Pelodiscus sinensis: one gene and its partners. The protein of the gene in region 2 interacts with the protein of the main gene of each other region in a pairwise test. Links are inferred from orthologs where the notes say so. Each region holds a gene or a part of one and is shown on either strand. Other genes may lie near its edges.

The links.
Region 1: the proteins of HSPB1 (region 2) and PELO interact in binary tests that used the Homo sapiens proteins (3 or more experiments, as listed by UniProt). The link is inferred for Pelodiscus sinensis from reciprocal best matches to the Homo sapiens genes HSPB1 and PELO.
Region 3: the proteins of HSPB1 (region 2) and NVL interact in binary tests that used the Homo sapiens proteins (3 or more experiments, as listed by UniProt). The link is inferred for Pelodiscus sinensis from reciprocal best matches to the Homo sapiens genes HSPB1 and NVL.

Annotation. Positions count from the first base shown.
Region 1 is NC_134716.1:98,697,461-98,707,984, reverse strand, and holds the start of PELO (protein pelota homolog), read left to right. Parts: upstream 1-5,272; 5' UTR 5,273-7,584; coding exon 7,585-8,310; intron 8,311-9,427; coding exon 9,428-9,859; 3' UTR 9,860-10,524. UniProt on the Homo sapiens protein: Component of the Pelota-HBS1L complex, a complex that recognizes stalled ribosomes and triggers the No-Go Decay (NGD) pathway.
Region 2 is NC_134731.1:15,442,224-15,452,747, forward strand, and holds HSPB1 (heat shock protein beta-1), read left to right. Parts: upstream 1-3,316; 5' UTR 3,317-3,387; coding exon 3,388-3,781; intron 3,782-8,017; coding exon 8,018-8,081; intron 8,082-8,514; coding exon 8,515-8,704; 3' UTR 8,705-8,867; downstream 8,868-10,524. UniProt on the Homo sapiens protein: Small heat shock protein which functions as a molecular chaperone probably maintaining denatured proteins in a folding-competent state. Plays a role in stress resistance and actin organization.
Region 3 is NC_134713.1:155,538,627-155,549,150, reverse strand, and holds the start of NVL (nuclear valosin-containing protein-like), read left to right. Parts: upstream 1-4,843; 5' UTR 4,844-4,952; coding exon 4,953-5,009; intron 5,010-6,584; coding exon 6,585-6,658; intron 6,659-9,794; coding exon 9,795-9,847; intron 9,848-9,970; coding exon 9,971-10,070; intron 10,071-10,524. Other genes in the region: CNIH4 (protein cornichon homolog 4), read right to left, coding at 1,016-1,084. UniProt on the Homo sapiens protein: Participates in the assembly of the telomerase holoenzyme and effecting of telomerase activity via its interaction with TERT. Involved in both early and late stages of the pre-rRNA processing pathways.

The DNA of each region.
Region 1 (10,524 bases), on a different chromosome or scaffold from region 2:
TTGGGAGCATTGGGAGCAGGAGTATGTTTCTGATGCCATGCATCTCAGTTTGGGGATCCCCAAACTTAGGGTACATCTAGATTGCAACACTATTTCAAAATTATTAGTGCTATACTGAAATAACTTAGTCTCCATCTACACAGCAGGCAGTTATTTCAAAATAGTGTCAAAATACTGTCAAGCTGGAGGACTTCTTACTCCTGTAACCCTCATTGTACAAGGAATAAGGGAAGGAGAAGGAAGAGTGCTCTATTTTGAAATAAGTGCTGTGTAGATGCTCCCAATTTTGAAATCAGCTATTTTGAAATAAGATACGCAATTGATGTAGGTCAATTTACATAGCTTATTTCGATTTAAGCCCTGCAGTGTAGACGTACCCTTTCTGAGATTCTTCTTTCTCCATGAGTTCAAACTTTCCCCCATTAAAATGAATAACAACACATTCTTAAGCTCATTGGGTGTAATACCTTGCTTGTAGTATATTTTTTATACAAAACTATTATAAGAAGCAATGTATTGCTTCCAGAAGCTCTGAATGAAGTAGGCTGTACTGATCTGTTTGTTCAAGATATCACTTACCGTACATAAAGTTCAACTGTGATATTGTAACTTCAGATTTTAAGCAGAACTGCTTCTTGTTAACGTTTAAAAAATCTTAATATTAAAGCTTCTGTTTTAAATTGTCATCCTATGCTGCAGAAACAGGCAAAACTTGAATTCTGGTCATTGTTTGTTTGTTTGTTTTTAAATCAGTTAAAACTGGAGAATGAGAGAGAGAGGAGACTTCCCACACTGCCCCTGAACCCAGCAAAATTTCTTAGCTCCTATTGGCCAGATTTTGCTAGAGGGAAGGGGCAGTACATGAAGCCTTCCTCTCCCTCCCCAGTGTCCAGAGCTGAGAGCAGCTAGCTGTTTAAAGCGGCGTGAGCTGCTTTGTAATATGGTATTGGCAAGGTGACTGCAGGCTGGATCCAGTGTCCTGCTGGTGGAATCTTCCTCCCCATCCCCGGAATAGATAGGGATTTTCTTCCTCTAACCACAGTGCAGTGAAAACAATCAGCTAATATGATTGTAAAGATGTTAAACTTTGTGCTTAGAGGTGTTTCAAATTATTAATTAACTCAAGTAACCTAACGATTTAAAAAAGCACTTTTTTGCATAGTAACTGGACCAATGATTGAGATAACCTCTCCAGGGCTTTCACTTAGTCCTGGAGGTAAAAGATGGAAGGACACACACATGCCATCCCCACCATATTTTCTGTGGCATGCTACTCAGAGGCCTCACATCAAGCAGAACTCAGAACCATGGAAAATAGTGATAGAAATGTAGCCGTGTTAGTCTGGTATAGCTGAAACAAAATAAAGGACTATGTAGCACTTTAAAGACTAACAAGATGGTTTATTAGATGACGAGCTTTCGTGGGCCAGACCCACTTCCTCAGATCAAACAGTGGAAGAAAATAGTCACAACCATATATACCAAAGGATACAATTTTAAAAAAGTGAACACATATGAAAATATGTGATTTGTCCTTTTCATATGTGTTCACTTTTTTTTAATTGTATCCTTTGGTATATATGGTTGTGACTATTTTCTTCCACTATTTGATCTGAGGAAGTGGGTCTGGCCCACGAAAGCTCATCATCTAATAAACCATCTTGTTAGTCTTTAAAGTGCTACATAGTCCTGTATTTTGTTTCAACCATGGAAAAGGTACACAATAAATTACCACATTCAGCCCTGCCCTGGCACAGTGGAACACCAATTCAGACTCTGCAGCTTCAGAGGAGAGAACATTTTCACAAACTGCCAAAAGCAATAATCTGAAAAATGTGCCAAAAAATCAGCTCAATGAATGTCTGAAAATATTCCTTACTTCCATATGTTGGATAAATAATTAGCCATCTAAAGCATTTAAAGCCCCCATGGAGGTTAGTGATAGAAATGTAGCAGTGGTGTTATTCTAAAATACAGAAGCATTTTAATAAGCATGCAAAGCAAAGGAAATGAGAAACTTTCCACTGCCAGGATCAGGTAAACGGATATCCTATGATTATTAAGAAAGGTAGAAAGAAATTCAAAGAAAATTGAACATTACCCCCACGTAGATTGAACAATTCTGTAACTGAAAAGAATGAGTAAATATAGGACCCAATCCTAACAGTTATGTCTGTGCTTAACTTTACAAATGTGAGTAGTCCCATTAACTTGCATATAATTACACATGTGAATACATAAGCATATATGTGTTTACAGAATGGAATTTTGGGCCTTGTTTTCACAACCCCCATTAAACAGTATCCTTTGCAACATACTTAGGAGTCAGGCTTATGAACCTAGGAATTGTAATACCAAATCAGAAATGAGAGCCATCTATTCCAGTATTTTACCTCCAACAGCAGATGTTTGAGGACACACCTACACTGAAGCATTATTTCAAAATAACTGTTGTTATTTCGAAATAACAAAGTGTGCATCTACACAGCAAGCCATTATTTCAAAATAATTTTGAGATGATGGACTTCTTACTCTGACTTCTGTAACCCTCATTTTATGAGGAGTAAGGGAAGTCAAAGGAAGAGTGTTCTGTATAGACAGTGCCAAAAGCTGAATTAAAGTATTTCAACTTCAGCTACACAATTGACATAGCTGAACTTGTGTATCATAATTCAACTTTTGCCCTAAAGTGTAGATAGGCCCAGAGAGTGTAAGAATCCCATAGTAGCAGATGTGGGAAATTTGTCCCCCCCCCCCCCCCGATAGGTTACATACTGAGCTGTGACAGAGATTTATTAAACCATGACACATCAGCTGTGTCTAGACTGGCAAATTTTTCCGCAAAATCATCTGCTTTTGCGGAAAAACTTGCCAGCTGTCTACACTGGCCGCTTGAATTTCCGCAAAAGCACTGACGATCTGATGTAAGATTGTCAGTGCTTTTGTGGAAATACTATGTTGCTCCCGTTTGGGCAAAAGTGTTTTTCCGAAAAACTTTTGCACAAAAAGGCCAGTGTAGACAGCAGAGATTTGTTTTCCGCAAAAAAGCCACAATCGCGAAAATGGCGATCGTGGCTTTTTTGCGGAAAAGAGCATCTAGATTGGCCATGGACGCTTTTCCACAAAAAGTGCTTTTGCGGAAAAGCATCCTGCCAATCTAGATGCGCTTTTCTGAAAATGCTTTTAACGGAAAACTTTTCCGTTAAAAGCATTTCCGGAAAATCATGCCAGTGTAGATGTAGCCATGAAGTTTAACATATCTCTCAGAATTTTTGCTATTCCTTATGATAACTCTGGAGATTCTGATCTGTATAAAAATCCAATCCCTTTTCGAATCCTGCTAGATTCTTGGTCTCAATGATATCCAGAAGCAGTGAGTTTCAGTTCAATTATGTGTTATGTGAAACAATGTTTCCTTTCATCTTTTCTGAATTTGCAACTTTTTAAGTTAATTAAATGTTTCTTTGCTTTTATGATGAGACAGGGAGAACTGAAACACTGTTATTTTATATCTGTTTAGCACAGTGTTTCTTAAACTTTTTAAGACCAAGGCACACCAAACAATTTTTTTTATGAGGAACACCAAGGATTTTTTGTTGAACAAACAAAAAAAAAAGAAGAAAAAGAAAAAGAAAAAGGTCAGGGGGATAGTTATTGAGCAGCCATTTTGTTTTGAACTCTGTTGTTCTTTGTGACACACCTCCGAATGCACAGTTTAAGAAACACTGGTCTAGCATGTCCACTCTACTGTGTCTCAGTTCTATATAAAATAATTCCCTTTATTTCAATCTCTTTTCATGTGAGTTTTCCCATGCCTCTTAATCATTCTTCTAACTCTTCTTTGCACCACTGATTTATGTAGACATCAAAATGCTTTCTCAACTGTTCTCTACCCCATTTCTTTTGCAATCTAACATCATTTGTGTTTCTGACTGCAGCTACATATTGGGCAAAGGTCTCTCTTGAACAGTTTGGTGATACCCAGCATCTTTTCCTGTATTGACACAGTTAAGTTAGAACCTTCTAAGGTACATGGGTAGTTTATAATGTCCCCTGAATTTATATTTCTTTGCATTTGTGAACCTCAAACTCCATCTGCCTTCATATTGCCTACTTATCTACCTTGTTGAGGTCTCTGTGAAGTTCCTGAAAATTCCCACTAGTCCTGATCTAACCCAAGTAACGCCATGCCATTTGCAAACACTGCTACCCTATGAGTCAACCCACCTTTTCCGGGATCTTAATAAATATATTAAACAATTCCGGACCTAGTATAGAACTCTGAGTCACCTCCAGTCATTCGCTTTTTGCTCAGATGAAAATTGACCTTTTATTTATACTTTTTGTCTTCTAGACAGTTTTTGATCCATGAACTACTTCACCTCTCTTCCTGGTTACTTAGCTTCTCTAATAGACTTTTCTGATGGAACTTATTAAAAATCTTTTGATAATCTAAATACAAGTGGTTTTTCTTAATCCACTACTTTAATGATACATTCAGACCGTACGTCTAGACTGGTGGCTTTTTTCAAGATACTGGAGGTATCCCAGAAAAACTCCACCATGTCCAGGGAACGCGTTTGCTCTTCTGCTTTTTTTTTTTTTCAGAAGAGCTAACGCGCTCTTTCAGGGAGCCCTGAATACAGTATTCTCTGAAGAATAAGGGCTCTGCCGAAAGAGGAGCTAAACGGTGTTAAATCCTCTTCCGGAAAAGCAATCAGAAAATGCTACACAAATTGCGGAGTGCAATTTGCATAGCTTTTTCTGATAAAAGAGTATAGTGTAGACCTTGCCTTAGAGATCAGTGAAGCATTATTTTCCTTAGCAGAAATCCTGTGGCAAGATGGTATCACATCATGATCTTCAAGTGCTTTATTATATAGCTTTCAATTGTTCATCCAATTTGCCAGGTACAGAGTAAGGCTTCTTGGTGTGTAATTCCCTTCCATTACAATATTCGTGATCCTTCAGTCATCCAAAGCACACGGGCTACATCTACACTGGCATGATTTTGCGCAAGAACTCTTTTGCAGAAGAGTTCTTGTGCAAAAACTCTTCCAGAAGAGAGCGTCTACACTGGCATGTGCCTTTGCGCAAGAGATGTGCTTTTGCGCAAGAGCATCCATGCCAGTATAGACGCTCTCTTGCGCAAGAAAGCTCTGATGGCAATTTTAACCATAGAGCTTTCTTGTGCAAGAAATTCATGTTGCCTGTCTACACTGGCCTCTTGCACAAGAATAGTTGCGCAAGAGGGCTTATTCCTGAGCAGGAGCATCATAGTTCTTGTGCAAGTAGCACTGATTTCATACATTAGAACGTCAGTGTTCTTGTGCAAGAACTCACAGCCAGTGTAGACAGGCAGCAAGTTTTTGCGCAAAAGCAATTGCTTTTGCGCAAGATCGCATCAATGTAGATACAGCCTCATAGTTTACAGGTCTTCCAAAATCTACCTAGAGAAGAACCCTCACTCATGCATGTTGTCCCCTTTGCTTCTATAGGACTATTCAGGAAAGTAAAAGTTTGTAGAATATAGGACCTAGCAGTTTGATCTTTGTCTGTTCTTCAGTGATACCTGTATGTTAATAACTTTTGAATTAAATGCTAACTTTCTCAATATTTATCATAAATATCTTGGAACAAGTGAATAGTGGCACATGACTGGATAACTTCAGGTGTTGGTAGAGTAACTAAAGATGACAAAATATATTAAACTATGCTTGTCAATTGAAGTTGTATTAGTTTAATTCTTTGAATTAAATTATTACATTATTTGATTTTTTAATATTTATGCAGGAGCTCAGCATGACTGAAAATCAGGCCACTGCAATTTGGGAGTCTAATTTTTTAGGAGCATTAGTTTGAAAATGTTAGCCTATATTCTTACCAGGGATGTAATAGTACAGTCAATTAACCGATTAACCAATAAGAAAAAAACCTTATGGACTATATGCATTTAAATGCAGAGCCGCAGCAAAGTTTGGTCCCTGACCGGGTACACGTCAGGACTGAGCCAGGCCCCCTACCCACCCGGCTTCTACAACATTTTAAATGCAGAGCCACAGTGGGGTAGTTCCCAGACCTGGTGCAAGCTGGGACTGAATGCTTTAAACTGCCTTCTCTTATTAACTAATCATGTAGTTGATAAAATTCTATCAACTAAACAATTAGCAAATTATTTGCTTCTTAACATCCCTAATTCTTACTATCAATATTACTATAGTATATATATGCTGTGAATTCTATAAAAGGAAATTGACTTTGAACTGTTATGTTAGCCACTAGATGTACATACACACAAGCCTCAGTCTGGATGGAGAATTTGCTTTCCCCACTATAAAAATATATCTGTTCTCTAGCATTATCTGTTCATTGTATGAATATACATCTAGATTTCAAGAACATAAGAAATGGAACCATATCAATTAGTAGCAGTCCACATCACTTATTTTGTGTTGGATTAGCTGTCTCCTCAATTCTTGTACCTCCGATATTTTTCTTCCAAACACTGAAGTGCTGAGTAACCTTGGGCAAGAAATTTCTCTGCACCTCAGTTTCCCCATCTGTGAAAATCGCAAAGGGATCTGACCTCCCTTGTAAAATGCTTTGAGCGGTATTGATGGGCAGCGCTGTGTACAATGAAGGGATTACGAGCAATCCCTACGACAGCCAGCGGCGGAGCTTGTGGCCCCGACTGGCCACGGTATTAGCCTAACTCTGGGCCAGAGGGAAGGGGAGCGGAGTAAGGCCGTGCACCCAGGCAGGCCCGGCTCTCTAGCACAGCACGAGTCGGGCTCCAACTGGAGATGCTCCACCTCGCTGCTTTGCAGCACGGACTGAGCCGGGCGGAGGCTGCGCTGGGCCACCCGCAGGACTAGGGCAGGGACAGCGGAGGCGGGGAGCACGGCCTGGGAGGGCGGGGTCATGAGCCGCCTTGATGAGCTCCCCTCAGAACACACGTGCCGCTCTGATCCGGCCTCTGTCTGTGCCGCTGGCCCGACCGTACCCTGGCAGCGGCAGCAGCAGAACCCGAGCTCCAGTACTGGCACCACCCTCTCCGGTACTTTCCGCGCATGCGCTAAAGGTGGCGGTACGGCGAAGGCTTTCTTATGCGCATGCGTGAGACGAGTTCGCCCGCTACTGCCAGCGCGCCGGAAGTCATCTCAACGTCTCCGCGCCGGGTCGGCAGTGTACGCATGCGCTCTGTGGGAGGAAGCCGCTGCCCGGCTGGTGTGTCCGCGAACGGACGATGCTGTCGCCGGGCTGCTCCCGACTGTGCCTAGTCCTGTCACCAGCCAGTGCGCAGGCGCATCCCGGGGCTGCCGCTGCTGACTGACTGCGGTGGGTCATCAAGTGCCGCTCAGATCAGCGAGGTCCCGCCGCTGGCGTGTTGGGTGCGGCGCCGGGCTGCACCTCCGCCCGCCAGGGCCTAGTGCTGGCCGGCCTCGTCCCACGTGTCCCGCCCCTTCCCTGCTGAGAGGGCGCAGGGCCCGGGGCCGTGCGAGGAGTGAGAGGCCCGGTCCTGAGTGCGAGGCGCCGCGCTGCCCCGTTCCCCGCGGACGGAGGCTTGTCCCGGGCAGCGGCAGGATGAAGCTGGTGAGGAAGGACATCGAGAAGGATAACGCGGGGCAGGTGACCCTGATCCCCGAGGATCCCGAGGACATGTGGCACGCCTACAACTTGCTGCAGGTGGGGGACAGCCTGCGGGCATCCACCATCCGCAAGGTGCAGACCGAGTCCGCCACGGGCAGCGTGGGCAGCAACCGCATCCGCACCACCCTCACCCTCTGCGTGGAGACCATCGACTTCGACTCTCAGGCCTGCCAGCTGCGTGTCAAGGGGACCAACATCCAGGAGAATGAGTATGTCAAGATGGGGGCCTACCACACCATCGAGTTGGAGCCCAACCGCCAGTTCACGCTTGCTAAGAAGCAGTGGGACAGTGTGGTGCTGGAGCGCATTGAGCAGGCCTGTGACCCAAGCTGGAGTGCTGACGTGGCAGCAGTGGTCATGCAAGAGGGGCTGGCTCATATCTGTCTTGTAACCCCCAGCATGACCCTGACTCGGGCCAAGATTGAAGTGAACATCCCCAGAAAACGGAGGGGAAATTGTAGTCAACATGACCGAGCACTGGAGAGATTCTATGAGCAGGTGGTGCAGGCAATCCAGCGTCATATCAACTTTGAGATTGTGAAATGTGTGCTGGTGGCCAGTCCGGGGTTTGTAAGAGAACAGTTCTGTGACTACATGTTCCAGCAGGCTGTCAAGACTGACAACAAGCTGCTGCTAGAGAACCGGTCCAAATTCCTTCAGGTAAAGTAGATAAGTAACCTTTAAATTGTAAAATCCAAAAAGAGTAAAGAGTTATATTGTGTGACATTAGCATAGAGAAAATTTAAGTTGAAGATCAACATAAATTTATTTTTTGTTAGACTTTAAATTGTGTATTAGTAAGGAATGTAGGTGTCCTTTTGTTGGGACACTTAAAAGCTAAACTAGATGAAGCACTAGATAATTAAATGCAAGCTCCCCCACCCCTCATACACACACAAAAAGAAACTTGATAGTGCCTCATTAAAATGGCAGAGATTTCAACACTTAGGAAATTGCATTTCCAGCAGAAAAGCCAGTTCAGTTGTGTTGGGGAGCATGAGTGTTTTATGACAGATTTAATGCCAGTGTAAGAAAAGCAAATGAAAACATACCTAGAAGTAGCAAGGCTAAGTTAGCATTGCTGTTGGAAAACTTTTTTATTTTTTTCTCTTGGTTTTTGTTATTTGCATGACCTTAAGGTTTTATTTGCTAATTATTTTTATCTGATTTCTTCGGTATTTTTAAAGGAGAATTGGAAAAAAAATTAAGAACATCCAAATTTCATTGGCTTCCTGTTTTTACAATGCCTGGCTTCCTAGAGGATACATATTGTTACTGAATTAAGTAAGCCTTTAATCCAAAATCAGGGTCCTAAGCCTTTGACAGTCCCAGGGCATTAAAAACAGCTTCATAAGTATGAAACAAGTTTCTTTTAACTCAGTGTTTTAACATGGATATTAATGAAGTATTATCTGCAAGAACCAGCCTGAGGACAAGGGTCCAATCACTGCTGAGAAGTGCTCGCTTCTTATATCTGAAAATACATGCAGGAGTACTGTGAATCTAGTTTTTTTCAGATGCTTTTTGGTTTAGGCCAGTGCTCAAGATCCCAGCATATTTAAAACAAACTTTGAATGACTTTGTTCTAAATTTTTTCTAACTTTGTTAAGCTCAGAGGTAGCTGAAGGTATTCTTGTTCAATATTCCTGAAAAAATTCACCTTCAGAAAGAGACTGACTACGGAAAGTTTCAGTTCATAAGTGAAACATATAAGGCTAAGTGATCACCATGGACTAAATTATCCATTTTTCTTCCATTTATAACATTTTTATTATAGGTCCACTCCTCTTCTGGACATAAATATGCACTGAAAGAAGCTCTTTGTGACCCAGCTGTGGCCAGCCGTCTCTCTGACACCAAGGCAGCTGGTGAGGTCAAAGCCTTAGATGACTTCTACAAGATGCTACAACATGAGCCCGACCGGGCTTTTTACGGCCTCAAACACGTGGAAAAGGCCAATGAGGCCATGGCTATTGATACCCTATTGATCAGCGATGAGCTCTTCAGGCACCAGGATGTGGCTTCCCGCAGCCGATATGTGCGGCTGGTAGATAGCGTGCGGGAGAATATGGGTACAGTGCGCATATTCTCCAGCCTCCATGTGTCTGGGGAACAGCTTGGCCAGCTCACAGGGGTAGCAGCTATCCTACGTTTCCCTGTTGCTGACCTCTCTGACCAAGAGGAGGAATCCAGTTCTGAAGAGGATTGATAATGGCTCATTCACCCTTCCTCTATAGTACAATAAGACTAAAATGACAGTCACAGCGTTTCTTTTCCAAATACTGCAAACAAATGTGCCCTAGTGTGCAATTTAATATTTTGAGGACAACATATATTTTAAGGTGCCTGGTTTTGTTCAACATGCTGTACTGGATAGCCATATATATTTGCACTTGCAGTATTAATAATGATGAGTATACTATAGGTTGGGGTTAACCATTGTTTGTACAAACTACACTCTGGATCTCCCAGAGCATAGCAAACTAATATAATTCTGATTTGGTTCCTGAAAGCTGCTGATGAGGTATTTTAAAGCAGATGATCTTTTTTGCCTTCTGGTGCATGTACAAAAAAAGAATAAATTAAGAGGAAAAAATGCTAAAATGTCACATTTCCTGTTTTATGTGCTTGCAAACAGCACTGGGAAGTATGGGAAGCAATGTGTTAGGTATTCTAAAGAATAATCTTCCTTTTCAAACTGCTATCCGAGCTTTAGCCATAGGCAGGTTGACAACTTGGTCAGGAACTCAAGGGCCACATCTTATTGATGTAAAAAGGAGTAGATTGTAGGGATTGGAAGAAGATTAGATGTGGGCCTGTCTTGTTCATGAGTCCAATCATTTGCCTGAATTTGGCAGTATTATTCAATACTGT
Region 2 (10,524 bases):
GCAGGGGCTGGGCCAGCTGCCCATGGCCAATCCCCAGTGGCCCCAAGCACACAGTGCTTTTTTTTAAAGAAAAAGGTGCCGGTACTCCAGGGGAAAAGTTGTTGAGCTCTGACTGGAGGTGCCGGTACCACGTCTGGAGGTACCAATACTGCGTCGGGAGGTGCTGGTACCACGATTGGAGGTGCCGGTACTACAACTGTGTTGTACCAATAAAAGCAAGCAGGATCTTATGAGGGGGATAAGGCAAAAAGCCACATTTATTGTAAAGATAATAAAAAAAATAAAGAAAAGATAGAAGCAAACAACGTTGTTTAACTACTTAACCCTTATACATATAAACATTCATTCATCCATTCATTCAGGTTCTGTGTATTTGTTATAATTACCAGCCTGGAAGTTGCTTGTGACAGAATACTGGCCAGGTATTCTGTAAACAAGTGATGGTAGTGGGGAGCGAAGTCCTGATCAGATGCGCATCTGAAGTGATGGTAGGCTGGCAGCAGAACCTTGGACTCTGATTCCATAGTTTTTTAGTCCAGTTCTCATAGGAATTTCTTCCTATGCCAGTCTATAGGAATTGCTGCATCATGCTGATGTCTCCAGGGTGGCTGCCAGGTGCTCGTCAGTGATCTCATCGGGTGGACCTCCAGTACTTGGTTTTCTCCACTCGACACCTTTTGGTTGCACTGGCACCTGACGCCTTCTTCAGCCCTTTGTTGCTGTATTCTCAGGCTGGCACCTCTCAGAACCATTCATTCATCGTCCAAGCACTCACTCTCTCTTACATACATTCCCTAATTAATGTTTCCCATACAGTATTTTGTATAATAATAAAAGTTGTAGTTACAAAAGTTACTGGGTGGTATTGCTTAAAACATTCTGAATGCTAAGTAAAGTTACAATGTTTTAAAGAGAACAGGCGTCAATTATGTAACAATGCCCTTAGTCAATTACAGGGCTTGGCTCCCATAGCAGAGTTAGTGGCTTGACAATGCATTGTTACAATGTATCTCTGCAATGTCAATTTCAAGCAGCCCCTTGCACAAGCTTGAGCATGCCCTGGGACACAGGAGGGGGGGCTGTTTCTGGCTACATAGGATTATATTCTTAACAGTTCTAAATTACATGACCTAATATATTATATTCTAAAGGGGCAATAATAATAATAAATCTAAACATTTAACAATCTTAACAAATAATAATAATAAGAAGAATTAATAATAAATCTAAACACTTTAAGTTGTGGGGAACAAATTATGGGGAGTCACTTCCATTTGGGGGAATCATTTTCAATACATTAATATGTTATCCCTACAACTGGAGGTGCTGGTACCACGACTGAAGGTACAAATACTGCGTCGAGAGGTGCTGGTACCACGACTGGAGGTGCTGGTATCACGTCTGGAGGTGCTGGTACCACGACTGGAGGTGCTGGTACCACGACTGGAGGTACCAATACTGTGTCTGGAGGTGCTGGTACCACGACTGGAGGTGCTGGTACCACGACTGGAGGTACCAATACTGCAACTGGAGGTGCTGGTACTACGACTGAAGGTGCCGGTACTACAAATGGAGGTGCCGGTACTACAACTGGAGGTGCCAGCACTGTGTCTGAAGGTGCTGGTACCACGACTGGAGGTGCTGGTACTACGACTGGAGGTGCTGGTACTACGACTTGAGGTGCCAGTACTGTGTCTGGAGGTGCTGGTACCACGACTGGAGGTGCTGGTACTACGACTGGAGGTGCTGGTACTACGACCTGAGGTGCCAGTACTGTGTCTGAAGGTGCTGGTACCACGACTGGAGGTGCTGGTACTACGACTGGAGGTGCCAGTACTGTGTCTGGAGGTGCTGGTACTACGACTGGAGGTGCCAGTACTGTGTCTGGAGGTGCTGGTACTACGACTGGAGGTGCTGGTACTACGACTGGAGGTGCCAGTACTGTGTCTGGAGGTGCTGGTACCACGACTGGAGGTTCTGGTACCACGACTGGAGGTGCCGGTACTGTGTCTGGAGGTGCTGGTACCATGACTGGAGGTGCTGGTACCACGACTGGAGGTGCCAGTACTGTGTCTGGAGCTGCCGGTACTGCGTACAGGACAGTACCATCACAAAAAAAGCACTGGGTGGGCAGCTGCCATCCTGCTCTGTGCAGTGCACTCAGCCAGCACGCGAGTGGGTGCGCCCCCTCCTCCCCGAGTGGAGAGCTAATCCCCAGCTTCAGCAGAACTGTGCGAAGTCAGTGGAAGGAGCTGCTGCACTGGTAATGAGGTTGGGGACAATGTTCCCCCCCAATTTCTTCCAGGTGCAGAATAAATTTTGCTATGCGCGCCAAGGCATGTGCACCACCAGTAGGAACACCCGCTGCCGACCGACTACGGGGGCTCTGCTAATCAGCTGGGAAGTATCTGAACCTCTCCTGCATGGCCGCCCAAGCGCTCAGCTTCCAGGGAACACTGGCTGGGGGGCAGCCTAGCTCCAGGCTGAGAGTGATGAGACTTGGGAGCTGGCAATCAATCGCCTTGTCATGGGCATGGTGGGTGGGCACCGGATCCTCTGCAGCTGGTCCCAGTAAGGACGTGGCAGGTTTGATACCGGATCCTGCCCTGCCCCGCGCAGGCAGTGTGAGAGGGCTCCTTGTGTACCGGCCCCTTGCAGCCGGACAGGGCACAGGGTGGGGCAGGGGTGCAGGGGGACGCTGGCCCTCCTTTGGCAGCTGAGCTGGAGGCAGGCTGAGCCCAGCTTGTTCTCTCACTGCTCCTCAGCCACCCACGGACTGTATCTCACGGCTCTCCTCCTCCTCATTCCCCAGCTCACCCCCGCCCCTCCCTCCTCTTTCCATTGCCTCCCATGTGCTGCCCCTGCCCATCCACGCAGCCATGCGCTTCTCAGTCACTGCACCATCCACCCTCCCACACCTCGCAGCCCCCTCCTCTTTCCCCACCTGCACCCAGCCCCATTGTACAGCTGGGGAACTGAGGCCCAGAGAGATTAAGTGACTTGCTCAAGGCCACACAAGCAGGCTGTGGCAGGGCCCAAGCCCTAAACTCAGCTCTCCTGAACCCCAGTCGTGTCTTCACTACCCAGCCAACCCACTGCAGCCAGATACTGGGGAGCCAGCACCCTTCCCCGCTTCTTTGCAGGCCCAGCGTAGCCGTGGGATGACGAAGGGCCTGGGAGGACGCGGGCAGAGCCTGACAGCTGACCTGCTGCTCATCAGCAGTGACTGGCCCGCATGTAATCTCCATGAATAGCCAGCTGAACTGCCTGGCTAAAAATAACCAGCTGCCTTTTCATAAGGGGCCAGCCCGCGGGGCTGCTCGAGAGACGCCCGCTCGTTCCCCTCCCGCCACAGCCAGAGCAGCCAGGCCAGAGCAGGAGTGCACCATGTCAGAGCGCCGGGTGCCCTTCACTTTCCTGCGCAGCCCCAGCTGGGACCCCTGGCGGGACTGGTACCTGGGCAGCCGGCTCTTCGATCAGTCTTTCGGGATGCCCCAAATGCTGGAGGACTGGTACAAGTGGCCGAGCAGCACCAACTGGCCGGGCTACCTCCGCCTGCTGCCCAGCCAGGCCGCCGAGCCGCTGGCCGTCCCCAGCCCCATCGTCACCTCCCCCACCTCCCCTAACCCTGCCTACAGCCGGGCCCTGAGTCGCCAGCTCAGCAGCGGTATCTCGGAGATCCGGCAGACAGCGGACAGCTGGAAGGTTGCCCTCGACGTCAACCACTTTGCCCCGGAGGAGCTGGTGGTGAAGACCAAGGAGGGTGTGGTGGAGATAACCGGTGAGTGCTTCCTTCCGCTCCTCCTGGCTCTGGAGAGGGGCAGCCGTCTCCTGTGAGCCTGAGCTGTTCTCCCTGTGCTGAGCCCTAGGCCTGCTGCACATGCCCCCCCACAGGGCTGGATTACCCAATAGGCAGACTAAGCATGTGCTTAGGGCACCCGCAAAGCCGGGCCACCAAAAAAAAGAGATTTTACGGTATAGTATTGTTTTTATTTTGAATTACATGGGGGGGGCACCATCATCTTTTCAGTGCTTAGGGCCTCTAAAGGTCTTAATCCGGCTCTGCCCCCCTAGAGCAAGGTGAGTGACACAGGCCCCACTGGGCCTGGTCTGTGAGAGGTGGCTGCAGCCCCCCTCAGGCCGGCCTGGCTGCCGCCTGTGGCCCCGGACGGCCAGGATTCAAAGGCTCCATTCAGGCTGGAGGATTCCTCCTGCCGAGATGGTGGGGCACTGGTGCACCCTTCACTCTCTCGAACCTCCAGCCCTCGACTCGGCGCCTCTCACTATATCGCTCATGCCTCCAAGCGGGCCGTTGCCTGCCCCCCCTTATTCCCCCATCCCCACAGCCTTGAGGAGTGGATGCAGCCAGCCGGCCCCCTCTGTTTCCTGTGAGGGGCCATGTTCCACCCCACCGCACGCTAGGGAGCCGCTTGCTCCAGCAGGTCGAAGAGGGAAAGGGCTTGCTCAGCCACCTAAATCCATGCAAGCCATGGGATGGGGGAAGACTACGCTTGTTATTCCATTCCGGCTGAATATTTGTATTCCAGACCCCTCTAGAGACCTCAGCCTAGAGCAGGGCCCCCTTGGGCTGGGTTCTCTACAAACATAGTAAGAAATAGACCCTGCCCCAACAAGCAGTTGGTCTAAATAGACAAAAGGGGAGGAGGGAAACTGAGGCAGGGGGCTGTAATATAACTTATCACCCAGCAGGTCTGTGACAGAGCTGGGGACAGACCCCAAGCTTCAATGAGTCCCCGGCTCACAGCCTAGCCCCCAGCCCTCACTACCCCCTAGGGCCCTCTCTCGAAAGCGAGGAGCCTTGTACCCTTGGGGGGTCTGGGCCCGAGGGCTTTCCAAGTTCACACACGCCCTTAGCAGTGAGTGCTCCGGCAGCCTGGCGAATCTCCTCTAGAGCATCATTAAAGATGGTGGCTTCACTCTCGGGGGAATCGTGTGGGCCTCGCTGCTGGATTTGAATCGTGACCCTTCCAGCTTTTTCTCTCCCTCCCTGGCTCAGATCCCAAACGAGAGCTCGGCAAAACATCTCCCAGCCCAGCAATCGCCATCACAATGGCAGGGAGCAAAGCCGAGGGTGCGGGGAGGAAGGAGGAGTCCCCTCACTGCCGTTTTCAGCCACTTCTGCAACACACTGCAGGCTGGCCCCCTCTGGTCCGGGACTCTGGGGTCCGTCTTGCCAGCAGCTGGGAGTGGTGCCAGGCTGGCAGCCTGCGGGACCAGTGTCCGGGGGATGGGGAGCCATACCAGCAGCCGGAGTGGAGCCCTGGTGGCCAGTGGAGCTGGTGGCTGGGGACAGTGGAGCCCCAGAGCAGGTGGGCCGGGAGCAGTGTGTTGGAGGAGAGCCCCAGGAGAGCCCAGAGGCCTGACCTCCCCTGGTCGGGCAAGCCCCTTGTTTGGGACCTCTCAGGTCCCCAGGATGCTGGACCGGGGAGGTCCAACCTGTAACGAAATATTTTCAAACAAATGTTAAACTAAGGCCCTGTGGCCTCCCATGGGACATTCAGACGCTGTCAGTCTGGACCAGGGGTGGGCACATGCGGGTGAAATGGCTCCGTTGCTGCTGGAATGGTTCTTTCCCAGGTTCAGTGTCTGCTCTTAGCCCCGGCTGGCTTTGTCACTGGTAGCTAGATCCTCTCTGGAGGAAGCAGAGCCACAGAACAGGGATAGGAAGAGGAATTGGGTGGATGGACATTAGGACCCAGGGGTGCCCTGAATTTCCAGGTGCCCGACGCAGCTGCGTATTCTGCATGTGGCTAGGACGGCCCTGACCACACTGTGCTGTGACCCAGCCCTGCGCAGCTCACGCGGCTTGGATGTAAGATCAGCCTGAGTCCCCCTGAGCCGTCCCCTCCCGCCCTCGGCTCCAGGAAGTTTTGCAGCCAGCTGTCCCAGAGTGCCAAGTCGCCAGCTGGTACAAACCGGTGCGGCTTGAGTGACTTCAAAGCACGATGCTGGTTCACACCTGCTGAGGGTCTGCCCCAGAGTCTGGGGTTTGCTGGGCAGCAGGAAAGCTTTGCAAGAAGCTGCAACTTCCCTGTTTCTTCCCAGCGAGCCAGTGATCAGGTCACCAGCTGGTACAAACCGGGGATCTCCGAGCCTGCTGGTGAAACCGACCCAGAGCGACGATGCTCAGAACCAATTTGCAGCCACCGGCGAAGCTGAAAGGGACTGACTCAGTCCAAGGCGGATGGTGCTCACCCAGGGGCAGCCCCTTGCATCCAGGGGACTGGAGCTCAGAAGGCAGGACCCAGCTGGGCTGAGATACCAGCACATGGGTTCAAATCCCTGCTCTGCCACAGACGCCTAGTGTGACCTAACTCCAGCTTCTCAGCGGGATTTGGGGCCTAAATGCCCCTTAGGAGCTGGGCCCTCCTCTGAGTAGCCCAGGGGATCAGCACTTCCCTACCCGGCCGGAGCAGCCTGTGAGGTACAGGGCTGCGTACGTGCCTTAGCTTGAGAAGTGGAGGTTGCTGAAACCCAGGGGCTGCGAACCAACCACCTAGCCTGAGACACGGCCGGGGAGGGGAGTGGGGGAGGATGCAGTGAGGCTACCTCTGCACCCTGGGGCTTGGCAGCTGTGGACCAGGGGAGCAGAAGGCTCCCATTGAGCCACCAAATACCCCGGCCCGTTCCCTTCCAGAGGCTGTAAATCCAGGAGAAGCAAAGGAAAGCTGGCATCCAGGGTGGGAGGGGAGGGGAGGGGGAAAGGGACTGGGAACTTTTCTTCAGTTTTCTACTGTCAGGGGCCAAACCCCCAAGGCAGAGAACGCATCTCCCACCCCCCAAGCAGCAAAATTCCAGCTTTTGATCCCCTTTCCCGTTTGTATCTGCAGTTTCTCCTTATCTGGTCTCGGCTGTTCAGCCCAGCCCGGCGCCTGCCCTGAAAACCAGACAGAGCCCAGGATGCAGCATCCGGGTGGCTGAGGCGTCTCCCGATTTTGTAACCCAGCTGCACGGGTGCGGGTGGAGGTGGGGGGCAGCGGTTTCTTCCATTCGCAATCACCCATGTAAATGGCAAGCCGCCCGTGCGCTGGGTAACCATGGTAACAGGGAAGCAGAGGCCTAGAAGGCGGGGAGGCCGAGCCGCGCTTTGGGGAGCTGTAGGAACGGCAGCCCGGCTTGGCTCTGGCCCCACCGCATGCCATAGAAGCTGCCTGCCCTGTTGGGGGGAGGGGGAAAGCAGGGCTGGGGAGATGGACCAGCTTGTCAGCCAGGTCCAACTCCACTGTGAGCTGGCAGGTGGGGTGCAGAGTGACACAAGAGCATTGGCAAATCAGCATTTTATACTAGTCGCTCTTGCCCCTGGGAGGGTCGGCCCTGGGCCGGGACCCGCTGTGTTAGGTGCTGGACATACACAGAATAAAACCTGACAGGCCAACCGAGGCCTCTGCCCGGACAACCTTCCCCGCCAGTGGCGGAAATCTGGCGCGAACAGGCGCTCTCATAGGAGTTGGGCTTCCGGATGTTAAATTGCGATTGCGAGCTAATCGAATAGTCGATACAATCTGTATCGATACAATCTGTATCGACTATACGATTAGCCGATCGCACCGCTATGCACAGCCGCCACGGGGGCAGCCCCAGGAGCCCCCCGCACTGCGGCGCCGCATTTTAAACTGCTTATCGGATGGTCGCGCACGACCCCATGCGGAAAACAAGCTGTCCCTCGCTGGAGAGTGGGCAGGGTGAGCGAGGGCTCGTGTTGCGCACGCAGGGTCCTGTTCAGAATGGAGCCTCCCCGCTCCGAAACGAAGGAGCCCGTTCCTCTTGGCTCCCCCAGCCAAGCGACTACTAGTCCCCTGGGCAGTCTGGCGGGGGGGGTCTGTGGGCCAGGCTGGCGGCTTGTGGAGGAGCCCTGGGAGTCGGGGAGGAGTCAGTACCTTCTCCGCTCTGGGTAAACCCCCGGGAAGCTCCGGCTGCAGGGTCCTAGCTGGGCCCGGGACATGGCACTGACCACTAGGCCTCACCCCCTGACTGTGTCTGTCGCCTCCTCTTCCAGGCAAGCACGAGGAGAGGCAGGACGAGCACGGCTTCATCTCCAGGTGCTTCACCAGAAAATACACGTAAGTGGCCGGCTCAGCCGGGGGGGAGGGGGGGAGAAGAGGGCTCCTGGGAGACTGGGCCTTCAGCCGTGGCAGGAGGGGGGGGGGGGCGATTTCTTTGCCACATGCAGTGCGGCTCGCCAGGTGGGACCCAGGGGCGTGGTGGCTGGACCCAGGGGAGATATGTTAGCCCACATCCCTGGCCCTGCTGGAATGATGTTTCCGTGAGGGGGGGGCAGGGGCAGCAGAGATGGAGCCCCTGGTTCTAGCTCTCCGGGGCCGGGGTGGCACAGAGCAGTGGTGAGCGGTCCCAGGAGGGAGCTACGCTCAGCCCTTGCTGGCCAGGAGGGGGTGGCTTCCCAGGATCGAGGGCAGACAGGAATCAGGTGCCAGTGGGCACTGCCAGGCGAGCCCCCGGCCCCGGCACACCCTCCCTCTCCTCTCCCTCATGCAGCCTGCCTCCTGGCATCGACGCCACCACGGTGCGCTCCTCGCTGTCCCCAGATGGCACGCTGACGGTGGAAGCCCCCCTGCCCAAGCCGGCCATCCAGTCTGCCGAGATCACCATCCCCGTCACCTTTGAGAGCCACGCGCAGATCACCCCGACCGACACCAAAAAGCCTGAGGAAGCTGCCAAGAAATAAGCCAGCGCCTGGCCCGGAGGAAAATCGCAATCCACTATGTGCCCCCCCCCCCCCCAAGCCATGGGTTTTTTTGGTTTTGGTTTTGTTTGGTTTTTTTTGTACTAGCCCAGCCACTGAGTTGCTCAAATAAATCGGAAAAAGTCAAATAAACCAACCCCCTAGTGTCTCTCCCCGTGTGCTGCATGGCCGGGTGCACTGGCCCTGGGGCTAGCCTGTAGCCAGCGATAGTGCCAGGCTGCATCCGGGGTGGGGGCTGCAAAGCCCCAAGAGAAATTCTCTCCGTGTTCACCAGAAGGTCCACGTGCCACACGGCACCAGGACGTGGTTTCTCCCAGCAGCCTCTGCTAGCTGCCGCCTGAGCTAAGTGACCTGCTCAGTGTCTCCCCTGAGGGAGGCTGGGAAGCTGGGCTGGGAACAGTCTTGGGCCTTGTCCTTGGGCTCCTCGTCCTTGGGCCGTTCTTCCATACGGAGCAGTGTCACATGGTGGGGCACGGTCCTGCCCTGGCTGTTGGCAGGGGCTCTGGTGGGCCTGGCACTAAAGCACAGAGTATGGGGTGCCGTGTTTCATGGCCAGCTCTGCTGCAGGGGCCTGGCCACAGGGCCGTCCCCATGCTCCCAGCTGCCAGAAAGGAAGAGATTCTCTCCCGTGGGTTGGTTGGGATAAGGAAGTGATCTGGGAGGACTGTTTGCTCTCCCGGCCTCAAGGAGCCTCCTTAGCAATGGGGGGAATCCCAGTCCTGAGGGGAAAGCCCAGCCACGGCTCTGGGATCCCTGACTGTGAAAAGAAGCAATGGGTCAGCCCCCTGAAGTCCATGAGGGCACAGGAGCTGCCCGGGATCGAGCAAAGAACCTTTGTATTTGCAAGGGCCGGCGGGTTGAGTTTGGAACCCGAAGCAAGGTTTGCAGCTCTGCTGTGCAGCAGGGAGGCGGGAGCCAGGCCGGGTGTTATTGGAGCTATTCCAAAGTGTGACTCACCCGCCAGGAATTGCTCCCTGCTGGCTCCCGGCTCGCAGGCTCCTGGCATTCCTCTCGCATGCCCTCGTGTTTCTGGAATCCTCCAGGCGCTGTTGGCCTCTGCTATCGCCCGGCCCTTTCAAAGTTTGCCCCGCAAGGTTCGATCCACGCCAGGAACCACAGCTCCCTCGTTCCTGACCCCTGCAGCGTCGGTGTGAACAGCTACGGCAGGACAGTCGTGCCCAGCAAGGCTAACTGAGAAGGGGGGAGAAGCCGTGGGCTGCGGAGGAGCCCAGCCACCCCCACAGAGCGGGGCCCAGAACCAAGCCCAAGCAGCCCCCGCTCGCCGTGGGGCAGAGAACAGCGGCAGCTTTCCCAGCCGGGCCAAATGCTGGCAGCAAACCCCGGAGCCGCCTGGCGCTTTGCTTGGCCCACAGGCCAGCTTGGGGGAGCTTGCCCAGGTCGGTGACTCTCACGGGCAGGCCCAAGCTGGAGCACCACAGCTGATGCCCTCAGGCCAAGCAGGGATTGGATGTGGCTCATACGAGCCCATTCTACCCTCAGGTCCAAGACCCAGAAGTTCAGCTCCTGCGCCAGCCCACCCAGGCCCCTCCCTCAGGAGCCCACCCAGCTACCCCAGATTGAGACCTAGATTGACCCCCCTTCTCTCTGGGAGGGCATCAAGTCAGGCTGCCACTGCCAGACACACCAGGCCTCTGGGCTGGGAGTGCCTCAGCTGTTATTAGCCAGGTTTGCTAGAGCAGTGTCTGAGGAGTGCCACGGCCAGGGCCCATGGTGCAGGGTGCTGTACAAACGGGGGCCTCAAGAGCCCTGTCTGCCATGCTGGGGAAGCCTCCCGGCCTTTG
Region 3 (10,524 bases), on a different chromosome or scaffold from region 2:
CCAACATTGTACTGTAAAGTTACTTGCCCAAGAACACGCGTGCAGTGTAGACACCCGGCAAGTTTTTGTGCAAGAACACTTGTTCTTGCGCAAAAAGCCTGCAGTGTAGACGTAGCCTAAGTGTAAGCCACATATAGTAATGAACTGAAATTTTCTATTTAGAGAATTGGATACTGCACACTCATTACTAAGCCATGTTTTTACAGGTTTTCTGTGTTATAGAAATGTTTTCATGAAACAGCCTATTCCTCTCCAGCCATCTCGAGTCCTAGCAACATTCTCCAACTTCCTTTTTAGCCCCTTTTGGATTCTGTTCCAATTTTATCATGATGCAACACATGTGACATAACTGTTAATGATAATCCAAGAAGGTGCATCAGATTGTGATTGTTACCATGATGAAATGTTTATGACAAAGGAACCTCCATATTTATTGTACAGATTTTTTTTAATCCTTAACCAATTGTTCTTCATTCTCCAGCTAAAGCAGAGACCCATCAGTGAGACACAGATGAAAGATCCTATGTAAACTACCAACAAAAAAATTCCCCCAAATACAGAGAAATTCACAAGTGTGATTTTCAATCTTAGTATTAATCCAATTAACAGAAACTAACAATACTGGAGAGGAAATTTAGGTCCCAAATGAGATTTTGCAACAAATAGGATTTGACAAAAGCCAGTAGCCACAGAAGTGCTTTCCTAACTTTTAAAACAGCTTGTGAATGAAATCAGGCCTTGTGGCTTAAACGTGTACCCGGGCCGCAGAATCCGGACGGACGCATCTTCCAACCCCCTGCTGCCAATCACCATCGCTGGGTACCATACCCGCCCCCACCCCCTCATGCCAACTCCTCCCCTCTCCTCCGACCCGGGACACTTCCCCGGTGGTCCCCACCGTACAGCCTCCCACTCCGGCCCAGCCCCCAATTCCCCGTGTTGCCGCCTGCCCGCCCCGCTACCGCCCCCCCGTGAGTCTCCCCGGCCCGGCCTGGCCCCCTCTCCCGCAGGATACGAAATACACGGAGAGGAAGATCAGAGCGCAGCAATCAATGAGCGAGAAGATGAACACAACGGACTCCATGCCACCAGCGCCGCCCTGCCTCCCGGCCACCGTACACTGCAGTTTCCGGCTCTCTTCCTCCTCCCCCGTTCACCGTCTCAAGCTGTACATGCCCGCCCCTCGGAGCTCACCCCGCGGCATGCTGGGAAATGTAGTCTTCACTTCCCTCCCTAGACCTGCAAGGGCTGCTGCAGGCAGCAGTGAGGTGGTGACCCCTGGGAAGGGAAGCCTGGCCTAACGTTTGGGATGAGGCAGGGAGAAATCCCTCACCTTTCAGATATCAGTCCTGCTCTGAATAGGGCCCCAGGAAGGGGCTGGGACTATGAGGATGGGATGGGGACCTTTGCACAGAACAGAATCCCAGTAGCACACATCTTTCTCAGTCCCACCCAGGAATCCCAGACCCCAATGCAAACCCATTCACTTCCTCCCTCCAGGAGAAAGCACATAATCCTAATAGCTGCCACAGCTGGGCCAATGGGATGGAGGGAGATTAGCATAAGATTTAAAATCATAACTTTAAAATTTAATGGTGGTGACATTAATAAAACAAAATCCATGAGAGTTAGGTTATTCCTAAAGTTAAGGTTCTTATTGCATTACTAACTGTGCATGTGTAACCCAGAGGCACTAAGAAAGGAGAGTAAAGTCTGTCCATTAGCTATACACATGCACATCTTGTTATTTCAATAACATAACTAACAAGAGAAACAGAAATGTTACTACCTGCAGAATGTGGAAGGCAGAAAAGTTAACATTGTATTAAAGTTTCAAGAGAAGGGGGAGTTGAAAATAACTGACCTGTCATGCTAGGTAGGGTAGCCAGGTATCTGCTTTTCGACCTGAACACTCAGTTGACAAGGAAACCTGGAGGCTCCAGTCAGCACAACCAACAATGCTGTTCAAAGTCTGTTTGGTGGTTCAGTAGGGCTAAGACTGGCTCCATACCTGCCCTGACTCCATGTGGTTCCCAGGAAGAGGCCATCAGGCTCTTGCAGCTACTAGGTGTACAAGAAGGCAGGGAGCCTCTGTGTGCTTCCCCTGCCCTGAGCACCAACTTTGTTGCTCCCATTGGCTGCACGGGAACCACAGCCAATGGGAGGTGCTGGGGCAGAGCATGGAGCCTCCCTAGCCTTGTGCCTATGAGTTGCAAAGACTTGATGACCTTCTTCCAGAAGCCATCTTAGGTAAGCACCTCCGAGACTCCACCACTCTTCCTGTGCACCAACCAACACTGAGCCCCTCCTGTACCCAGAACCCCTTAGCCCTAGTCTAGAGCCTCTTCTGTACCCCAAACTCATCATCCCTGGCCCCAACCCAGAGCTTGCTTCCCCATGTCAACCCTTTGCCCCAGCCCTGAGCCCCCTCCTGCATCCAAACTTCCTCCCAAAGCCTGTATCCCCGCTACACTTCACAATCCTCAGCCCCATCCTCACCCAAATCAGTCATCTCTAGCCCCATTCCAGAGCCCACACTCCTAGCTGGAGTCCTCATGCCTCCTATCATCCCAACCCTCTGCCACAGCTGTTCTGAGCCCTCTCCAGCACCCCCAAACCCTAATCCCTGACTCCCCTCTATCTAGCCCACAACCTCAGCTAGAACTCTCATTCACTCCTACACCCCAACCCCTGGCCCACCATGGTGAAAGGAGGGCCCAAGCATAATATTTTCAGACCCAGTGCAAACTTATAACACAGACCCCCCTCCCGCACACATACCACAAGGTGTAGCATGGGCTGGATCCCAGTGAAGTGTCCTCTCCTGCCATGTGAGGGCCCTGGATGAAAGTAAGGGAAGATAAAGTGAAGGGGCACAGCCTCAGGGATGGTGCTAGTGGAGATAAAGGTAAGTTTTGGGCCATTATTAAGTTGGCAATCCTGATGCTAGACTTGTCAAACTGAGTGTTGTGTCCGTGCCTAAACTTTGCATTTAATTTACTTGGCTTACTGATAAGCAGGGCTCGACAAATAATGCAATCTACTTGCCCGTGGCGAGCAGATTGCAACCCGGAAGAGCCGGGTTCAGGTGATCTGTGCATACGCAGATCGCCGGAAAGCACGGCTGGCAAGCAGGGCTTGCCGCGGTTCAGTGAGCCCTGCTGATAAGGCTCCTAGGCATTATAACACCAATAATAAACAAATAATGGCATGGCATTAATTGACTCATCCTGGCATGGTTTTAACTGAAACACCGGTCATTGCTGGGGCCTCAGTACAAGCACCATACAACCAACTTGTCACACTTGTCTCTAAAGCAGGGCTACTCAACACGCAGCCCATGTGTTTGCGGCCCACAATCCGATTGTTTGAGTCCCGCTGTGTGGTTTGGGTTTAGATGGGGCTCAACACGCAGGCTGCGTGTGGGAGCCAAAACAAAAAGGTAGTCAATATAATTGTCTTCTGTTGATATGCATTTTAGTAGCTAAATTCCTGGACTCTCATTGCTCATTAAAAGTGCTGTTATCTGGGTGGAAAGCAGGCAAATATTGCATTTTGTTAATATCGGCAGAACAGATTTAAATGGGGCCTGCCTGTTGTGTCCTGCCTTAATCTTTGTATTCATGCCTGTTAGCGTGAAAGAAGCTAATTGCATGTATGTGCCACCACACTTAAGTTGAGGCCCTCTGCATGTGCTGTATCATTGTGGCCCCCGGGGCTTCCAAAGTTGAGTAGCCTGACTCTAACAAAATGCAGGACAATGTAGCACTTTAAAGACTAACAAGATGGTTTATTAGATGATGAGCTTTCGTGGGCCAGACCCACTTCCTCAGATCAAATAGTGGAAGAAAGTAGTCACAACCATATATACCAAAGGATACAATTTAAAAAAATGAACAAATATGAAAAGGACAAATCACATTGCAGAACAGAAGGAGGATGCGGGGGGGTGGGAAGGGGGAGGAAGGAAGGTAAGTGTCTGTGAATTGCTGATATTAAAGGTAGGGAGAGTGGGATGTTTGTGAGTTAATGGTATTACAGGTGATAATTGGGGAAACTGTCTTGATAATGGGTGAGAAAGTTCAAAGACTTGTTAAGTCCTTGTTGGTAAGTGTCGAATTTTAACATGAATGACAGTTCAGAGGATTCTCTTTCAAGTGCAGATGTAAAAGGTCTTTGTAGCAGAATGCAGGTGGCTAAGTCATTTAGAGAGTGTCCTTTCTGAAAGGACACTCTCTAAATGACTTAGCCACCTGCATTCTGCTACAAAGACCTTTTACATCTGCACTTGAAAGGGAATCCTCTGAACTGTCATTCATGTTAAAATTCGACACTTACCAACAAGGACTTAACAAGTCTTTGAACTTTCTCACCCATTATCAAGACAGTTTCCCCAATTATCACCTGTAATACCATTAACTCACAAACATCCCACTCTCCCTACCTTTAATATCAGCAATTCACAGACACTTACCTTCCTTCCTCCCCCTTCCCACCCCCCCGCATCCTCCTTCTGTTCTGCAATGTGATTTGTCCTTTTCATATGTGTTCATTTTTTTTAAATTGTATCCTTTGGTATATATGGTTGTGACTACTTTCTTCCACTATTTGATCTGAGGAAGTGGGTCTGGCCCACGAAAGCTCATCATCTAATAAACCATCTTGTTAGTCTTTAAAGTGCTACATTGTCCTGCATTTTGCTTCAACTACCCCAGACTAACACGGCTACATTTCTATCACTGACTCTAACAAGACATAGTAGCTGATGTCCACACCTCCTACTACTAGGGCTGCCAATCAAGTCGGGCTATTTTGAACGGGGCCCTTCGGCCGGAGACGTAGGTGCCTTGGCTGGTGCCTGCACAGAATTGCAGCGCGGATCTCTGGCTCTGGCGGCGCAGGGTAGCCTAGACTCAGGTCCTTTCGCTTCGTCTGTCCGGAGCTGCTGGGCGATGCGGGGCCGCGCGCGGAGCTTTGCGGACCCTCGCCTGAAGCAGCGAATCAAGCAGGTGCCGCTTCCCCTCTCCCGGGTCTGCTCCTGTCTCGCCCCGCCCCCCAGTTCCCTCGCGCGCTCCAGGGCAGTTCGGGGGTTGCCTTGACGTCAGCCCCGAGCCCTGCGCCGGACCCCGCTGCTCCGCGCCAGGCAACGGCGGGCCCGGCGCTCGGGTCTAGGCCTGCTAGTGGCTGTTCCATTGGCCAGGCCCGGCCCGGCCCCGAGCGCGTGTGTGTAAAACGCTGGCCACGGCCCTGGCTCCCCACGAGTTGCCTGGTGCCGCGGGCTACCCCGCGTGGGGGGCTTTACAACCCGAGACGGGCGCGGTGGGAGGGAATGATTTTACTGCAGCCCTGTTGAGCGAGCGTGTGGTTATTGTGACTGGTGTCTGGATCTCCGCTGGGCACCTTCCACAGACACATTTATCTTTAAAACGCCCCTCTGAGGTATTGAATTATGATCCGCCTCTTACAGGCTGTGAACTGAGACACAGAAATGAGACTGCATGGAAAGTCGAGCAGAATCAGAGATGGAACCCATGAATTCTGTTTCCACATGCAGTGCCCTATCAACTGCAGGACCTTTTTTTCTCCATTGTATTGATAGTCAGACTTCGCTGGTTCAGCAACTAAATTAGTGAGAAAAGTTACCCAAAGGGTCATAGTAGCGTGAATTGACTGTTTCATTCACTGTACTACTAGTCATAAAGGATATTAAAAATCTTTTAATACAGTAACCATGTAGCTGCTAAAAGTCTTAACAGTTACATGTGGGCTCTGCTGTATAAAGTTTAGCAGAGGCCACAGCAAAGCCTCTCTAGGATCAGGGCTACCAGCGCCTGCCCACCTGGCATCCAGGGAGGGGACTTCATTTTGGCAGAGAAGCCTTCTCCCCAGAAGCAGCAGAGCATCCTTTGCCCACCTGGCTCCTGGGGAGAAGGCTTTGCTGCCCTGAGATAGTGAAGCCACCCCCCTGGGAGCTGGCTGAATTTAACCAAGATGATTAATCGATAAACATCAGCTTATCGGTTAAATGGTTAGTCGGATAAACTCTAACATCCCTACTAATTATATTTAAACAGTACAACAGGGGAAATATTTTATTTGCATTTTGTCTCACAACAAAGAAATTAATAACTTAGTGCAAGTTGACAATTTAAGTGGCTAATAAGATATTGAAAGCATCCTGATAGTCTAAGCGACGAGGAGTCCTGTGGCACCTTATAGACTAACTGAAGAGTCTAAGTTATTAATCAGTGCTGGCTAAAGTGTCTCCTGCTGCTTTTGCAACACATGTGTGTGGTTAATAATTAAATCAATCGGAGTATTACTGCTCTGTTAATTTACTGTGGATTTGCCCCAATTAATGACATTTGTCAGTTTGGTCTCCAATATATAATGTACTACATTTTCCAGTAAATGTTGTGAATTGGCTACGTAAATAGCTAAGTTTCCATCAAACTGATAAATAATAATATAACTTTGTGCAAAATAAATTCATACAGTTTCTGATGTTTTAGTTTTTCTCTTGTATATCATCTTGTGAATCAATTCAACAGAAAGTCTAAAATTCTATAAACTCTGCATTGCAGTACCTGAGCAGTAATAAATGTGGTCGATATGTGGACATTGGAATTTTAGCAGCTGGTTTACAGAAAACTTACAGGTGAGCAAAAAGTGTAATCCTTGTATTCTGTTTTTAATAAACAATAGAAATGGTAGTATACATTTGCATATCTAAAAATGTTAATACCGTATTTCTCGTGACAATTATGAATTACACTTCCAGTAGACTTCCGATAATCCGGCACCTTTGGGACCCAGGAGGTGCCGGATTATCGGATATGCCGGCGTATCAGGAGGTACTCCAGCGGGGAAGCTGTGATGGGTCTGCCGGGACCCGCACTGCTACTGGTGGGGCGGGGGGGGAGGGGCCGCGGTGGGGAACGGCATGGCGAGGGGCGAACCCTCCACTGTTTTGCAGGGAGGCAGGGGAAGCCCTGCACAGCTGCCGGCAACAGGCCAGCTGGGGCTGCAAGCGGCAGCGGCGGACTTGGGGAATCGGCTGAGCAGAGCAGCTGGGGCGCTGCCAGGTTGGTCCCACAGCGCTGCCCCTCACCTGAGCAGCGCTGTGGGACCAACCTGGCAGCACCCCAGCTGCTCTGCCCCGCTCCGCCGCTTCCCCAAGTCTGTCACTGCCACTTGCAGCCCCACTTGGTCTGTCACAGGCAGCTGCGCAGGGCTTCCCCCGCCTCCCTGAAAAACGGTGGAGGGTTCGCCCCTCTTTGTGCTGTTTCCCGCCCCCAGGCCAGACACATTATAGACCCGTCACGGGTATAATCCCCTTCCCCTTTCCTCCCCTTTCCTTTCCTGGCCCATGAGCGCATGTGGGGCTCACAGAGCTCCAATTGTCCGGCTGGCTGGAGGACTTCCAGGTTCCAGTTAGTGCCAGACTATCAGGAGTGCCGGACCACTGGATGCTGGACAATTGGAGTTTTACTGTAAAACTAGGTTTGAAAGTTGCTTAGTAAGTCACAGATCTAGGAAAAAGTACACTGAAAATAAATTATTTTCTGGTTAAGGTTTTCTCTGGCAAAATTTCCAGTAATTTTTTTATATTGTTGTACCGTAGAACAGTGTTTCTCAAAGTGGTCTATGGACCCACTCTGAGAGATCTGCTACTGGGCCGCTCCGGATTGTTTGTTTACTTGCTCTGCAGTCATGTAGAAATGTATTGTGGAAGAGACCTCAAATGATCATCTATTCCAGGGCTACTCAACATGCAGTCCGTGGCCTGTTTGTTTGCAGTCGGTGGTGCAGTTTGAGTTTATGTGGAGCTCAACACGTGACCCGTGGGTGGGAGGCAAACCAAAAAAGTAGTCAATATCATGGTCTTCTGTTGATATGCGTTTTAGTAGTTAAATTCCTGGACTGTCATTGCCCATTAAAGTGCTGCCATATGGATGGAAGTCGGGTGAATATTGCATTTTATTAATAGCAGCAGAACTGGCTTAAATAGGGCTTGTGTGTTGTAGTTTTGCCTTAATCTTTGTATTCATGCCTGTCAGTGTGAAAGAAGCTATTTGCATATATTTGCATATATGTTTGCAAGTATATGCAACCACACTTAAGTTGTGGCCCTCGACAGTGTGCTGTGAGTATCATTGTGGCCCCTGGGGCTTCCAAAGTTGAGTAGCCCTGATTTATTCCATCTCTTTGTATTGAAGCAGGACCAAGTACAGGCAGTCCCTGAGTTACGCGGATCCGACTTATGTCGGATCCGCAGTTACGAACGGGGTTTGCTGCCCGTCTCCCTGGTCTGCTGAGACGGGGAGCAAAGTCTCTGAGGACAGCGGCAGCGGGACAGCCGCGCCGTGTCTGGGCTGTCCGCTGCCCACGTGCTCCCCGGCTTTGCTCCTCGGCTTTCCTCCCCGGCTTTGCTCCCCGTCTCCCTGGTCTGCTGGTCTCCAGCAGACCAGGGAGACGGGGAGCAAAGCCTCTGAGGACGCTGGCAGCGGGACAGCTGCAGCGCGTCTGGGCTGCCCACGTGCTCCGCAGCTTTGCTCACGTCTCCCTGGTCTGCTGGTCTGCTGGTCTCTGAGGCTTTTCTGTAGTGTTGACGTGCTATTTCAAAATAAGCTATTTCAGGGAAAAATAATCCAAAATAGCTTATTTCAAAATAACTTGCTCTATAGATGTACCCTCAGTTGCCTAACTTTGCTGTGGTGCTTAAAAACACCTTGAAAAGAGAATTTTAAAGCATAATTTGAAGGAGGACAAGGAAGTAGCTTTGTTCATGCTTATAGCCTCTCTCTATCGTGGGATATATAGTTTGTGATCTGTTAGTGGAGGAATGGACAGTAACACAGCGGCAGTTTGCCAGGGTTAGCACCTAGCGAGCTACCGCCACTATATTTAACTATATTTACCTGCACAGCTGCAGTTACTGGTGATTGGCCGCAGATCACTGTTCCCAGCCAATGGCAGCGGAATAGGCAGGGACACTGCTTCCCGCAGTTCCCTTTGGCTGGGATTGGTGATCTGCAGCCAATGGGAGCTGCGATTGCTGGTACCCATAGCCATGCAGGTGGGGGCCCTCCAGGAGCTAACCCTGGTGGACTAGATCTAGCCCATGAGCCAGTATTTATCCACCCCTGTGTTATTGGAAGGGAACTCAGCTGCTTGATCATGAAGTTGGGAGAGCACATTCATTGCAAATGATTAAAGGGTCTGAATTTTTCATTATGCCAAAAAGAAAAAAAAATCCAATGGTTGAACTTAGTGCTTGTGAAAGTAATGGACCACATTGTTTGTAGCTGGGGATACGGTGTTGTGCAAGATTCCATTTACTAATTTATCAGTGCACCACAAGAAGAACCCATCCTTGTCCAGTTCCTAGCTACGTATGTAGACGTTGTGTATTTTGTTTGGAAATCCACATAGCTGATTCTTCTTTTATATTGCCATTCACTGCTCTATGTGCTCAGCTGACGAGGAATATTGCCATTCACTGATCTATGTGTTCAGCTGAGAAGGCGTTTCGTAATCCACACAAAATGTCCCTTTGAAGACCACTAACTAGAGACCACTGAGATTCACCTTGCACTTTTATCCCCAAAATTTAGTGTAGTATCACACTATTTGAATTGCACCTAATCTTTTTGTAAAGCCTGGGAATACCTTGAACCAAATCACTCTGCCATATGATTTGTTCCTGGATGCACTCATATAAACAATTGTGGAGTGTGTCACTACATGAAAGAAGGCTTCAGTGAGAAACTAACGTGTGCAATTGTTTTCAGTGCAGAATATGGCCGAAGAAAGAGAAATGCCTTTAGAATTCAGGTTGAGAAAGGTAAGTCTGTTAATATCATGACAAAAATACCAAACAAGTTAAAGAAGCTTTCTGAATTACTGACTACACTGTTGTTGAGCACTTGGTGTCATCTTCTCATCATATTCTTCTGTTTTTCCCTAGTATTTGAGATAATAAGTAATGAGAGAGAATTTGAAGATTTAACCACTTTAGAAAATGAACATGTGGCAAAAAGAGCAAGAGACAGACAAGGAGAGGATGAGTAAGTTGAAAATTTTGCTTTAAGACTACTTCAACAATGATGTTAGTGCTTTGTATCTTTTAAAAAAACCTAACTGTGCAGGCCCTGATCATGCAAGCTATTTCATACAGGTGCGCCCTTGTATCCTCATTAGCCTGTTCTTTGCTTGGAGGGGAAAAAGGGCCAGGAGAAGAAGTTCTTAATTCAAGTTACGTTCTAGTGAAGCAGGCCCATAGGCTTGAATTCAACCTGATAACTCACATAAAAACTATACCTTTTTACTGGGGTTATCTTTTTAATTGAGGTATGTGTATGTGTGTGTTTTGAAGACAAGTCCACTGGAAGGGATCCTCGTAGGTAAAAGGTAGGGATGTAAAATCTCGGCAAATCAGTTAACTGGTCAAATGTTAGGTTGACCTAACATTTAACTGGCTAAGTGGGATCTGGGCTGGGGCTGCTGCTGGCTTCCAGGCCC